Linked DNA regions of Xenopus tropicalis. The protein of the gene in region 1 interacts with the protein of each later gene in a pairwise test. Links are inferred from orthologs where the notes say so. Each region holds a gene or a part of one and is shown on either strand. Other genes may lie near its edges. The genes, in order: dcp1a, rita1 and pnrc2.

What was found.
Region 2: the proteins of dcp1a (region 1) and rita1 interact in binary tests that used the Homo sapiens proteins (3 or more experiments, as listed by UniProt). The two-hybrid records come from large-scale screens. The link is inferred for Xenopus tropicalis from reciprocal best matches to the Homo sapiens genes DCP1A and RITA1.
Region 3: the proteins of dcp1a (region 1) and pnrc2 interact in binary tests that used the Homo sapiens proteins (3 or more experiments, as listed by UniProt). The link is inferred for Xenopus tropicalis from reciprocal best matches to the Homo sapiens genes DCP1A and PNRC2.

Annotation. Positions count from the first base shown.
Region 1 is NC_030680.2:150,743,552-150,747,205, forward strand, and holds part of dcp1a (mRNA-decapping enzyme 1A), read left to right. Parts: intron 1-504; coding exon 505-1,146; intron 1,147-2,802; coding exon 2,803-2,868; intron 2,869-3,191; coding exon 3,192-3,377; intron 3,378-3,654. UniProt on the Homo sapiens protein: Necessary for the degradation of mRNAs, both in normal mRNA turnover and in nonsense-mediated mRNA decay. Removes the 7-methyl guanine cap structure from mRNA molecules, yielding a 5'-phosphorylated mRNA fragment and 7m-GDP.
Region 2 is NC_030677.2:145,154,906-145,158,659, reverse strand, and holds the start of rita1 (RBPJ-interacting and tubulin-associated protein 1), read right to left. Parts: upstream 2,615-3,754; 5' UTR 2,344-2,614; intron 1,714-2,343; coding exon of another isoform or gene 1,687-1,713; exon of another isoform or gene 1,682-1,686; intron 362-1,681; 5' UTR 322-361; coding exon 44-321; intron 1-43. Other genes in the region: ATP-dependent RNA helicase DDX54, read left to right, coding at 2,863-2,982. UniProt on the Homo sapiens protein: Tubulin-binding protein that acts as a negative regulator of Notch signaling pathway.
Region 3 is NC_030678.2:80,603,641-80,607,394, reverse strand, and holds the start of pnrc2 (proline-rich nuclear receptor coactivator 2), read right to left. Parts: upstream 2,471-3,754; 5' UTR 2,323-2,470; intron 1,430-2,322; 5' UTR 1,238-1,429; intron 661-1,237; 5' UTR 643-660; coding exon 232-642; 3' UTR 1-231. UniProt on the Homo sapiens protein: Involved in nonsense-mediated mRNA decay (NMD) by acting as a bridge between the mRNA decapping complex and the NMD machinery. May act by targeting the NMD machinery to the P-body and recruiting the decapping machinery to aberrant mRNAs.

The DNA.
Region 1 (3,654 bases):
TGTGCCGATAACCCCAATATCTGCCACTCCCAGGTTACACCTCTCACAATGTTCTGTGCATCTCTGTATTGCTGAGGTGTAACACTGCCCCCTAGTGGCGCTCAGCACTAATGCCTCTGATCTCCTGTGCTTTCAGGCCGTGCCTCGTATATGGGCACAAAGGGCATTTAGCTTGGGGCAGAACTGTGCCGATAACCCCAATATCTGCCACTCCCAGGTTACACCTCTCACAATGTTCTGTGCATCTCTGTATTGCTGAGGTGTAACACTGCCCCCTAGTGGCGCTCAGCACTAATGCCTCTGATCTCCTGTGCTTTCAGGCCGTGCCTCGTATATGGGCACAAAGGGCATTTAGCTTGGGGCAGAACTGTGCCGATAACCCCAATATCTGCCACTCCCAGGTTACACCTCTCACAATGTTCTGTGCATCTCTGTATTGCTGAGGTGTAACACTGCCCCCTAGTGGCGCTCAGCACTAATGCCTCTGATCTCCTGTGCTTTCAGGCCGTACACAAACATCTCACAGTTGAAGAACTATTTGGAACCTCGGTAACGAAAGAGCAGCCGGCGGCCAATTGTTACCCCAGTTTGGAGCCAAGCGACAGGCGCCCCCAATTGTATGCCCCCGCCTCCTGCGAGCAGCCATCGCCAGTGGTGGTGAAGGCAGCTTGTGCTTCTTTCAATGCCGTTGCCAGTGACTTTAGCCACCCTGCGTGTGTGGCGCCCACAGTATTTGCCCAAGGCCCGGGCCAACGGCCGCCATCACAGGCAGTGGCAAACCTAATCAGTTTAAGCCCCAGTCTGGGTATAGCAACTGCCCCAGAAGGGCTGATAAGTGCCATTCAATCTGCCCCTGGGCAGGTCTCACCCCTCCTGAGCCAACCTGTACCAGAATGGCACCTCCTGCCCCCACTGGCACCAGTCAGCTCCAGCAGTGTTGTTAACTCTTCCCATTCCGGGGCTGATCTTCTCCACAAGCTGAAGCTGATTCCGCACACAGACCAGGTCCAAACGCAGCCCTTAAGCAAAGCCTCCATTGCCCCAAAATTCTCTTCTGCCCTGGGCCAGCTGGCTACACCCGAGAGCTTTAAAGGAGGCATAATGAAGCCTGTTCCAAGCACCGGCCTAGTTATGGCGCCTCTTCAGGTAACTCCAGGAATTACAGCTGTCTTTCTGCAACTTGTCCTTTAATTGTCTTTCCTGGGTGCCAATGAAATGTTTGGGGTCATTAGCACCAAATTAAGGGGCTGCACCAATATTGATCCTTTGTGAGAAAATACATTCTGCCTAAACTATTGATTAACAATGTAATTTGTTTTACTTTCATATTACTGAAATGTAACTTCACTAGCGATAGTGAGCTCTATATAAACAGCCCCCTTCCTTCACAGGGGTCAGTAAGAAATAACAAAAACCATAGATTTTATGTGATAAAAACCATGAGTAGAGAGAAGCACGAGCCCAGTTCACTGCACTCATATTGATCAAGGGGGAGTGCTGCCCCTTTATATGCACCCCAGTCAAAAAAAAAATATACATACGCAGTTTGGTCATTTCCCTATGGGACCAAACTGTAAATTATATCCTTATAAATGGTGTCTAGTGTATAAAACTTGAATATTATAATATAGTACCCCCTGTTGTAAAATATGAGAATATTAAAAGTCACCTCGGAGTTACATGACCTGTATAAAAGCACGAGGCCGAAGGCTTTGTTCCTTTATATGGTCATGTAACTCCTGTGACTTATAATATCCTTATATTGTACAATAGGGGGTACTTTATTCACTATATATTATAAGGAACTCCTCGGGGACTTATAATATCCCTATATGTTACAATAGGGGGTACTTTATTCACTATATATTATAAGGAACTCCTCGGGGGCTTATAATATCCCTATATGTTACAATAGGGGGCACTTTATTCACTATATATTATAAGGAACTCCTCGGGGGCTTATAATATCCCTATATGTTACAATAGGGGGCACTTTATTCACTATATATTATAAGGAACTCCTCGGGGACTTATAATATCCCTATATGTTACAATAGGGGGTACTTTATTCACTATATATTATAAGGAACTCCTCGGGGGCTTATAATATCCCTATATGTTACAATAGGGGGTACTTTATTCACTATATATTATAAGGAACCCCTCGGGGACTTATAATATCCCTATATGTTACAATAGGGGGCACTTTATTCACTATATATTATAAGGAACCCCTCGGGGGCTTATAATATCCCTATATGTTACAATAGGGGGCACTTTATTCACTATATATTATAAGGAACTCCTCGGGGGCTTATAATATCCCTATATGTTACAATAGGGGGCACTTTATTCACTATATATTATAAGGAACTCCTCGGGGGCTTATAATATCCCTATATGTTACAATAGGGGGCACTTTATTCACTATATATTATAAGGAACTCCTCGGGGGCTTATAATATCCCTATATGTTACAATAGGGGGCACTTTATTCACTATATATTATAAGGAACCCCTCGGGGGCTTATAATATCCCTATATGTTACAATAGGGGGCACTTTATTCACTATATATTATAAGGAACCCCTCGGGGACTTATAATATCCCTATATGTTACAATAGGGGGCACTTTATTCACTATATATTCCCATTTGCTCTCTTTTAAATGACTTTCAGTTAGACATTATGTCTAGGGGCCGCTATAGGACAGTTCAGTTAATACATGGGATTTTGCTGATCATGTGACTGGGGCAGATATACAGTTGATTCCTTCTTTCGCTCTCTCTCTCCCCCCCACAGAATGTACTTGACAAGAAAGAATGTGAGGTTCTTCCCCAGCCCAAGTGCTTACCCAAGGTGGTATCGGTAAGTGCCGTGCCCATTGGCTTCCATTTTATCTCAAGTTTGGTGTCTGTCAGGGCAAATTGCTGCCAACATGGAGGCAGCCTGGCACCGTTTCCATGCCTACTACTTTCAGAGCTGATTAAAAGGGGTTTCAGGCCATAGTGCGTTTCATTAATACTTTCATGCACGCCCTGTAACATTTCCCATGAAGCACTGCTGATCAACACACCCAGAAGCTTTTCCACATAGATTCCTGTTGGTGGGCCAGTCTGAGCCCTATAGGTTTTATACTTAGATGCAAGGGTAACTACACCTGTGGCTCATATCCTTCTTCTTATCCAAAGGCAACTCCATATGTAGCTCAAATGAGCACAGTTGGTCCCTCAGTCCTCATGTCGCCCAGTGTCTTCCATCAGTCGGTCCAAGAAGAAAAGGCCAGAATGTCGCCCATTGACTCAGCGCTGTCTGATCCTTCAAAGTTTGTCCTGAGTAGATCCCAGCTCCAAGAAACACTAATCCATCTCATAAAGGTAAGCTCTCTGCCAAAGCTGCAGTTATACAGGGAACTGAGTATCACTCATGTATTATAAGGGATACTGTACCCCCTACTGTAAATGATAAGGATATTAGCAGTCACTGAGGGGTTCTGTGCCCCCCATATAAAGGCACAAGGCTGCAGGCTGAGTTATACAGGGAACTCTGAGTATCACTCATGTATTATAAGGGATAATGTACCCCCTACTGTAAATGATAAGGATATTAGCAGTCACTGAGGGGTTCTGTGCCCCCCATATAAAGGCACAAGGC
Region 2 (3,754 bases), on another chromosome or scaffold:
CACTCCTTTTCAGGATCAATAATTAGCAACGGTCCAAAAGTACCTGTACTGAATCTTTTTCCTGGGAGTCCCTGGTGGAGTGCTTTTAGGCCTACAGCTTAAGGTGTTTTTGTTGTTTTGTATTTCTCCTGGGCTCCACAGAAGGGGTGTCTGACAAGGTGGTGCAGTGTTCCACTTTACAGTTTGATCCACTCTTACCCCAGAGGTACCAAACAGAGTCTCGTCAACATAGGAGTTGGCAGCTTTGAACCGGTAAGCGCTTCTGCTTTTGCGCTGTGGAAGTGCAGTGCGATGCCCAGTTATAGAGAGATCCAGAGACATTTCAGAAGCAGGCCTAAACTGATACTTGTTTAGATGTCTCCTAAAAATATAGAATAACTTAATAAATACAACATTTATTTAAACATACTATACAAAAAATGCATTGTTTTCATATACTAATAATGATCATCTATTTATGTTCACTTGTCTATATATCATATATATCCTGTATCATGTATAAGCAGATAAAAGACATAGACAGCAGAACATGCATTTTTATCCCAGAATTTAGGCATCGTTGTGATAGCAAAGGAGTGATGCTCTTGACGCAATTGCACTGTGGCTACCTTAAAAGGATTGTTCACCTCCAATGTCCAAATCTTATTAAACCACCAACAATGCTCTCTTTAGAAAATATCTTCAGTTGCAAATTTTTTGTTATCTTTCTATATGGAAAAGATTGTTCTATTAATGTGATCTGTTACATTTGTGAATGTTGTACAAAGGTGAACAACCCTTTTAATTGTATCTGATTTGGCAAAACTGACAGAACTTGCCATGTGCTTTGCAGCAAATTGGGAGCACTGCACAGAATTTTTCAAAGTCTACCTGGTGTTGTGATGCGTTTGCCCTATACTCCTACTGAAACTAAACTGTGGTGATTGATGTAGGGCACTGACAGGGCCAGATTTGGGCAAGGCCACAAAGACCCAGACCTAGGGTGGCATAAATTTAGGGGCGGCATTCCGGCCAGCCACATGTAGATGTTGCTCACATGTGGAGCACTAAGGACGGGACATGCAGAAAACTGCAGCTATTACCGTCCCCAGTGCTCCGTATGTAAGCTAAAAGGACGGGCATGCACGCAATCCTGTGGGGGGGGGGGAGGCTGGAGAATGGGGGCAGCCTATGGGCACCCTAATCAGAAATCCAGCACTAGGCACTGAGGGAGATCTAAAGCTACCGCTTGGTAGGCTACCCCTGTGTCAATAGGTACAGCAGCGCTCAGTTCTAAACGGAAGGCAGGAAGGGCCAAGTGTTGCCAAGCGTTACTAAAGTGCAAGGAGTGCATTTTGACACAAGTACCTTTAAAGGACAATGAAAGGTTAATATAAATTAAAAGTAAGTCTAAAGGCATTTTTTTTTAAGTACTTACTGCATATCTAAATTCCCAGATCCCTGCTTGCTTCTCTGAGATATGGTGCTGGCAGCCTACAGCAGTGTGAAGCCTACAGTGACATCTCTGAAATCTCTCTCCTTCCTATTCTCTGAGCATGTGTACAACCTAATCCTGTCTCCTGTTCTGAGCTACACATACCCACCAGCCAATCAGAAGCGGATCTGGCAGAGGGGAGGGGGGAGGGAATGAAACACATGTGCAGTATGAAGCAAGGAGGGAAAGGAAGGGAGAATACCTTTTTAGAGATGGCTGCCTGTTCTAGAAAATGTGAAGTAAGTGTGACTGAGTAAATATTTGATTAGGTGAGCCAAAAGTGTGGCGTTTTTACTAAACAATAGGAGGACTTTGGGCAGTATGCTTTTTAAATTTTGACTTGCATTCTCCTTTAATGAAAGTGGTTTTCCATGCAACTGACTGGGAGGGAAAGTGCAGGGACCGCAGCTGCACTTGCGGACTTACGTAAGCCCTATGAAGTACTTGCCTCCGCTGCCATTCCAGTTGGATGTTAGGTCTAATTGTGCAATTTAGCTTAACCATTTGACCAAAGCTGTAGCACACTACCCCATAAGCCTGACTAAATGTCAGTACAGGAAACTATAACTCAAAAAACAGCAATACAAATCAATACATGCAAATATTCTTTAAGCAACCTTGTCCAATCAAATGTTTTAATGCAGTCCTTGCCTTATAGGATTTTCAACCAATGCCAAACAACATTTGGCTAGAGTTCTGTCACACAAGTTGCAGTTTCTGAATACAAAACACTTGGCTAATCTCCAGAAAATAAAAGGCTACACTAGTGAACTGGGCGGGGAATTTTGAGAACTGAGTAGAAAATGAGTATGTATCAATGAATATAACCATAACTTTTAAAAATGTAACTTTATGACTTGAAGTATTACCTGATGGCAAAACGTTTATACCATTGGCATCATGTTAGGCACATGCAGTCGATAGACTTGCTGCAGGCAGCCTCTTTCAGCCGACGAGATGAGTGTATACATGCAGCTATACAGGCAGCTATACAGGCAGCTATACAGGCAGCTAGAGACAACTGTGTGTAACACGCTCTGCCCAGCTCCCATGGTAATGATACACATTACAACTCGGACTCACCCAAACCCGAGAGCAGGGACAGAGGTTACACAGTGTATCGCATTTCTGTATTTCAGCTCCTCATCCGTTTTGCAGTGCAGAAATGTGGCAGCAGAGAGCTGGCAACAGAAGTGCGATAGCAACACACCGTCCCCTGTTCACTGACACCAAGTGGTACATTCCAGGAAGTTGTACTCAATCCCTTCCGGGTGTCTGTGAGACACGTGGGGGATAGACGTGCTCGTACATTCAGAGGATCGCTGATGGTCTGGGGTTAAACTGAGCTATTTTAAAGACGATATAGATATAGTCTTAGAATTGCGGAAATGGCTCAGAAAAAACGTAAGGGACAGCGATCTCGGAAATGCTGTCAAAACCAAGAGAGCGACGAAAGCGACACAGTGGGATTTCGTGTCAAAGCTGCACCCCAAAAGGAGGATGGAGTAGTAAGTGCGAACTGGCAATTGTAGCTCGCATGTTCGAAATTAGTTTCTCAGGATTCAAGCAACTAAGTTACCATCTGTACTCAGAGTAATTTTGCAATTGAGTGCCGCAGAAATCTTTCAGGGCACTGTAGGGTTAATAGATTCTGTGAGGGGAAAGTGCTTTGTAGTTTTCTGGTGCTATATAAGTCACTGATATTATGTTTTACCGAGCAGTATTACTTGACAAAAGTCAACACCAGTATCACTTTTATTATCATGATATATATTTCAAGCTCATTTCTTTCCTAACCCCCTAAGCACAGGGTGCTGAGGAACTTCCAGTATATATTAATTGGAAAACTGAAACGTTAAAGTAGAGCTGGGCGGTATGACCAAAAATTTATACCACGGTATTTTTCAAAATTATATCGGTGTCACGGTATTTGACGGTATTTTTTTTTTCCCATGCATGATTAGGTGTTAACCCCATTTCCTAATAAATTAGAGAATAATTACTGCAGTATTGAAAATCAGAGTCAGGCAAGCGAAGGATCGGCAACAGAAAGTCGTAAGGTAAATCAGGCAGGCTTAGGGGCTGATTTACTTACCCACGAACGGGTCGAAATGAGTCCGATTGCGTTTTTTTCGTAATGATCAGTATTTTGCGATTTTTTCGGATTCTTTACGAATTTTTCGTTACCAATACGATTTGCGCGTAAAAACGCGAGTTTTTCGTAGCCATTACGAAAGTTGCGCATTTTTCGAAGCGTTAAAACTTACGCGAAAAGTTGCG
Region 3 (3,754 bases), on another chromosome or scaffold:
CAGCTATGCTGTGGAGAAAGTGCTTCGTATGCGGGAGTCCTCTTCACGGAAGCTTCACCCACCATTCAGTTTAACTCCTGAGGGATTTTAGGAAAAAAAAACGATCCATTCCATGCTGGCATAGTCAAGTAAGATCTCATGTTTAACACACTGTTTGGCATTCTTCAACCTAGAACCCTGTAAGTGTCCCATAGGCATTTATTTATCATTGATGGTTTTGGTAGGTCCAAATTAGGCCTGGACCTTTAGCAAGGTTTTCAGCTGAAAGGACATCAGCTCTTTCTCAGCTGGACTGCAGGAAAGGAGCACCCAGTGGCTTGGTGGCTTGGGAAGTACACTCGGTGATGGTGGTTCACTAAATTTGGCTCCAGCGTAATTCTGGTTGTCTTGATCGGTGAAGAAGTTCTTGGAGGCTGGAAACCCAGCACTCCAGTTTTGATTCGAGGAACGAGTGTTATTGTTGTTAACTCCATTCTGCATGGCCTGCCATGCAAGAGATGTCCCACAGCCACGGACCCTGTCCTTACTGAGAGACGTGTTCATCTTTTGATTGTTGCGCTCTAACAACTTCTGACGGTTAATCTGTTTGCCAAGGTTATTTCTATGCTGACCAGGAATGTTAAATCTCTCGCCTCCACCCATCTCCAACTTTTATGTCACCTAAAACAAAAATGGTATATTACATAGTAAAACCTTAAATGTCATGCCATTAAATGCCAACTGAAACACCATTAAAAAGCTCTTCTCTACAAAACAGAAAATACTAATTTGGCAGCTTCAGGGCACCCAAACACAATCTACAGTACTGATTAATTTTAGAGCAATTAGATTTCAGATTTTAGTTTCCTTTCTCGTGAAAGGGAGGGGATTGCTAGGTACCAACATGGAAAAGTTTGCAACCACTACCTTTTAAATATATCTAAATATGCCAAAACTTAAGTACATTAAATGTCTTGTTTATTTAGATAAGCAATGCCAGCTTATACTTAAAACAAAACATCCCTGTAAATAGGATCCCCTCTTCAAAGAAACCACATAAATACGTAGAGAACGTGCAGACTTTTTACATTGAACATACTACCTATATTTAACAAATGAAAGGTGCATCCCCTTTTGAAGTCAATTATGTCTGCTCAGTCGGTTTTGAACATGTTTATTTAGGCTAGAATGCTACATTACTGATACCTATACAAATAACAGACTTGATTCCATTTTGTTTGCTAGAAAGATTGCTCACCTTCCCACTGATTCCTCACACCCCTTCTCTGCCTTTCCAGGTCTCCGAACTAACAAGGCTCGCTCCCCTCTTTGTGTTGCCTTCTTTAATCTGCTAGTTTTCTTAAGCATGTGATTATCAAGATCCAAAACAAACATCGAATCCCCCTGGGCACAAGGCAACCGGGGATTACAATGGAAGAAGTCCTCTAAACTGTAAAAAAAAAAAAAAAATAATAAAATAAAGTTATTCACAGTAACCCATAAATAACAGGCAGCCAAAAGTATATACTTATTTACCAAGAATCCCATTACACCCACATCAAGAAATCATTATCAATAAATGTATCCTTGATAAAGGTGTTCTATGCTTTACAAATCCATTGTATTTGTGGACAGTTTCTGGGGGGGGGGTAAATTAGCTTGATCAGTAAGGGCCTGGGTGGTAAATGTAAGATTACAGAAATGGCAATGCCCACCATATGCCCTGACCTATTTTAGATGCAAGAACTATTTTTTGTTTTTACACAGCGAGAGAGAACATTATAAAAATGAAGCCCACATTGTTATGATAAACTGAAAGCCCCAGAAGAGCTCACAGCGCCCTGTAAACCCACAATGATAATGATAAAAACAAACATATGGACCGGGATAAGAGGCTTGATGGGCGAAACCAAAGAGGGACAAAGGGGGTGAAGTCACTACCCAGCTGCACCCCCCCCCCAGCTTTAACTCCCAATACCCCCTGACAATAGAGCTGGTGTAGTTCATGAAGTAAAAATAAGATATTACACCTCCACCAAACGACTACCATAATCAGTCCGTAAGTACGACATAGCGTTGCGCAACGGCAGCCATTGCTTACGAGCCCCAGTTTTAAAACATCTAACCATAGACAAAGTATCAGCCCACAGCACCAATAATCGCGATTAGGGGTAGATATATATCGCGGAAAGGGGTTTGCCGTGATAAACTACTTTTAGAAGTTTACAGGTTTTGTAAAACTTGGCAGGAAGGTAACAAAGGAACGGGTCCGAGAAAGAAAGAACATGGCGCCAGGAGGGGAGGAGCTCCCACCAGAGAAGGAAAACACACCAAAATACTCACCGAGACTTCTTTTCGAGAAATGTCTCCTCTCCCCACTGAACGTAGCGGAGAGTGAAGAAACGAAGCAAAATTCAGATAAACCGCAAAACTCTCAGACTTGCGAATCTTTCCTCCTACTTCCACCCTTCGCCTCCAAATCGCAACTCACAACCCGACCTTCCTAGATCCTTCACAAAATGGAACACTAGCGCCGCCCCCGTAGCGCCACAGCCAATGAGAGGTTGGGCGTCCGCGGGACAGCCAATGTAAAGACGAGAATTTCAACGCGAGCCTGTTGCAGTGCGGAGTCAGACTTCTGCTCGGATCCTTTCCCCTCCCCCGTGTTTCCATCTCTAGTCTTGTTATTGTGAGGGGGATGGGAAGCAAAACAATGGCGTCACCAACGAACAAAGTTGCAGGTTTGTTGCGACATCCGGTGTAAAGAAAATAACTACCAGTTTTAGTCTCTCTAGTGATTTCAATTTACAAATTCCAGTGTTAATAAAATGAAGTGAGAATGCTGTTATACAGAGCAGTTGCTTTCGAATGTCTCGTCGAAAATAACGCTGAGATGTATATGAATATTTCATGGAGGGGGGTCACTGCAATAGGTCTGTGTCTTGGTTAAGTCCGGGCGAGAGCCTGGAATATAGTGTGCTTCCTTAGGGCAGGAACTGTATGTAGCTGAGTGCGGGGGAAGTTCTTTGATGCTCTGCGTATCAGTCTCGGCTTGGCAGTGTAGTGGCAGTAATAGACCCCCAGAAAGAGCTGAAGGCTTTGAGACCACGTAAGATACCACGAAAGTCGACCTTTCCCAGGATATGTTACAGCCCAGTTCTGTTCTAGCTTTGTATGTACTACTTTCATGGCTATCCTGTGAGCGACAATGACGTAGTTATGATTAATTGCCCTAAAATATGTACATAATAAAATAAATCAGGTAAATTCTCTTCCAGTTCTGGTTGAGGAGCCGGCTTCTGCTACATTGTTCCTGAAGTCATAAGGTTACTAGAAGAGTACTGTCTCTTGTCTAATAAGTCTGTGCTTAGCTGTTTTCCCCCAGGCCCAGATTGGCAATGTGTAGATTCTGGCAGAAGCCAGAGGGGTGGATGTAGGATGTCTCTCTGTAGTGCCAATAACAGGCCTGTTTGCCCCCAAACTTAAAGCATCATGATAGAACAGTATGCTCCTTATGATCGTCTCTGGCACAGTCAATAAATTTATAATCCCCTTATATAGTAAATTGTACACCCTTGATAATTTTCATTTTATGCTATGTCTAGTTTCTTTTCACTGATATAAATGTTAAGGTAAACTATTTTAGATACAGACTAGGATGTATGTCCTGACAACTGTACAACATAAGTGCATATAATTCTACACATATAGCACATTTATTTTAATGAAAACACAACATTAACAAAAAACCGTTGAAAACACTTTGACATTCAGT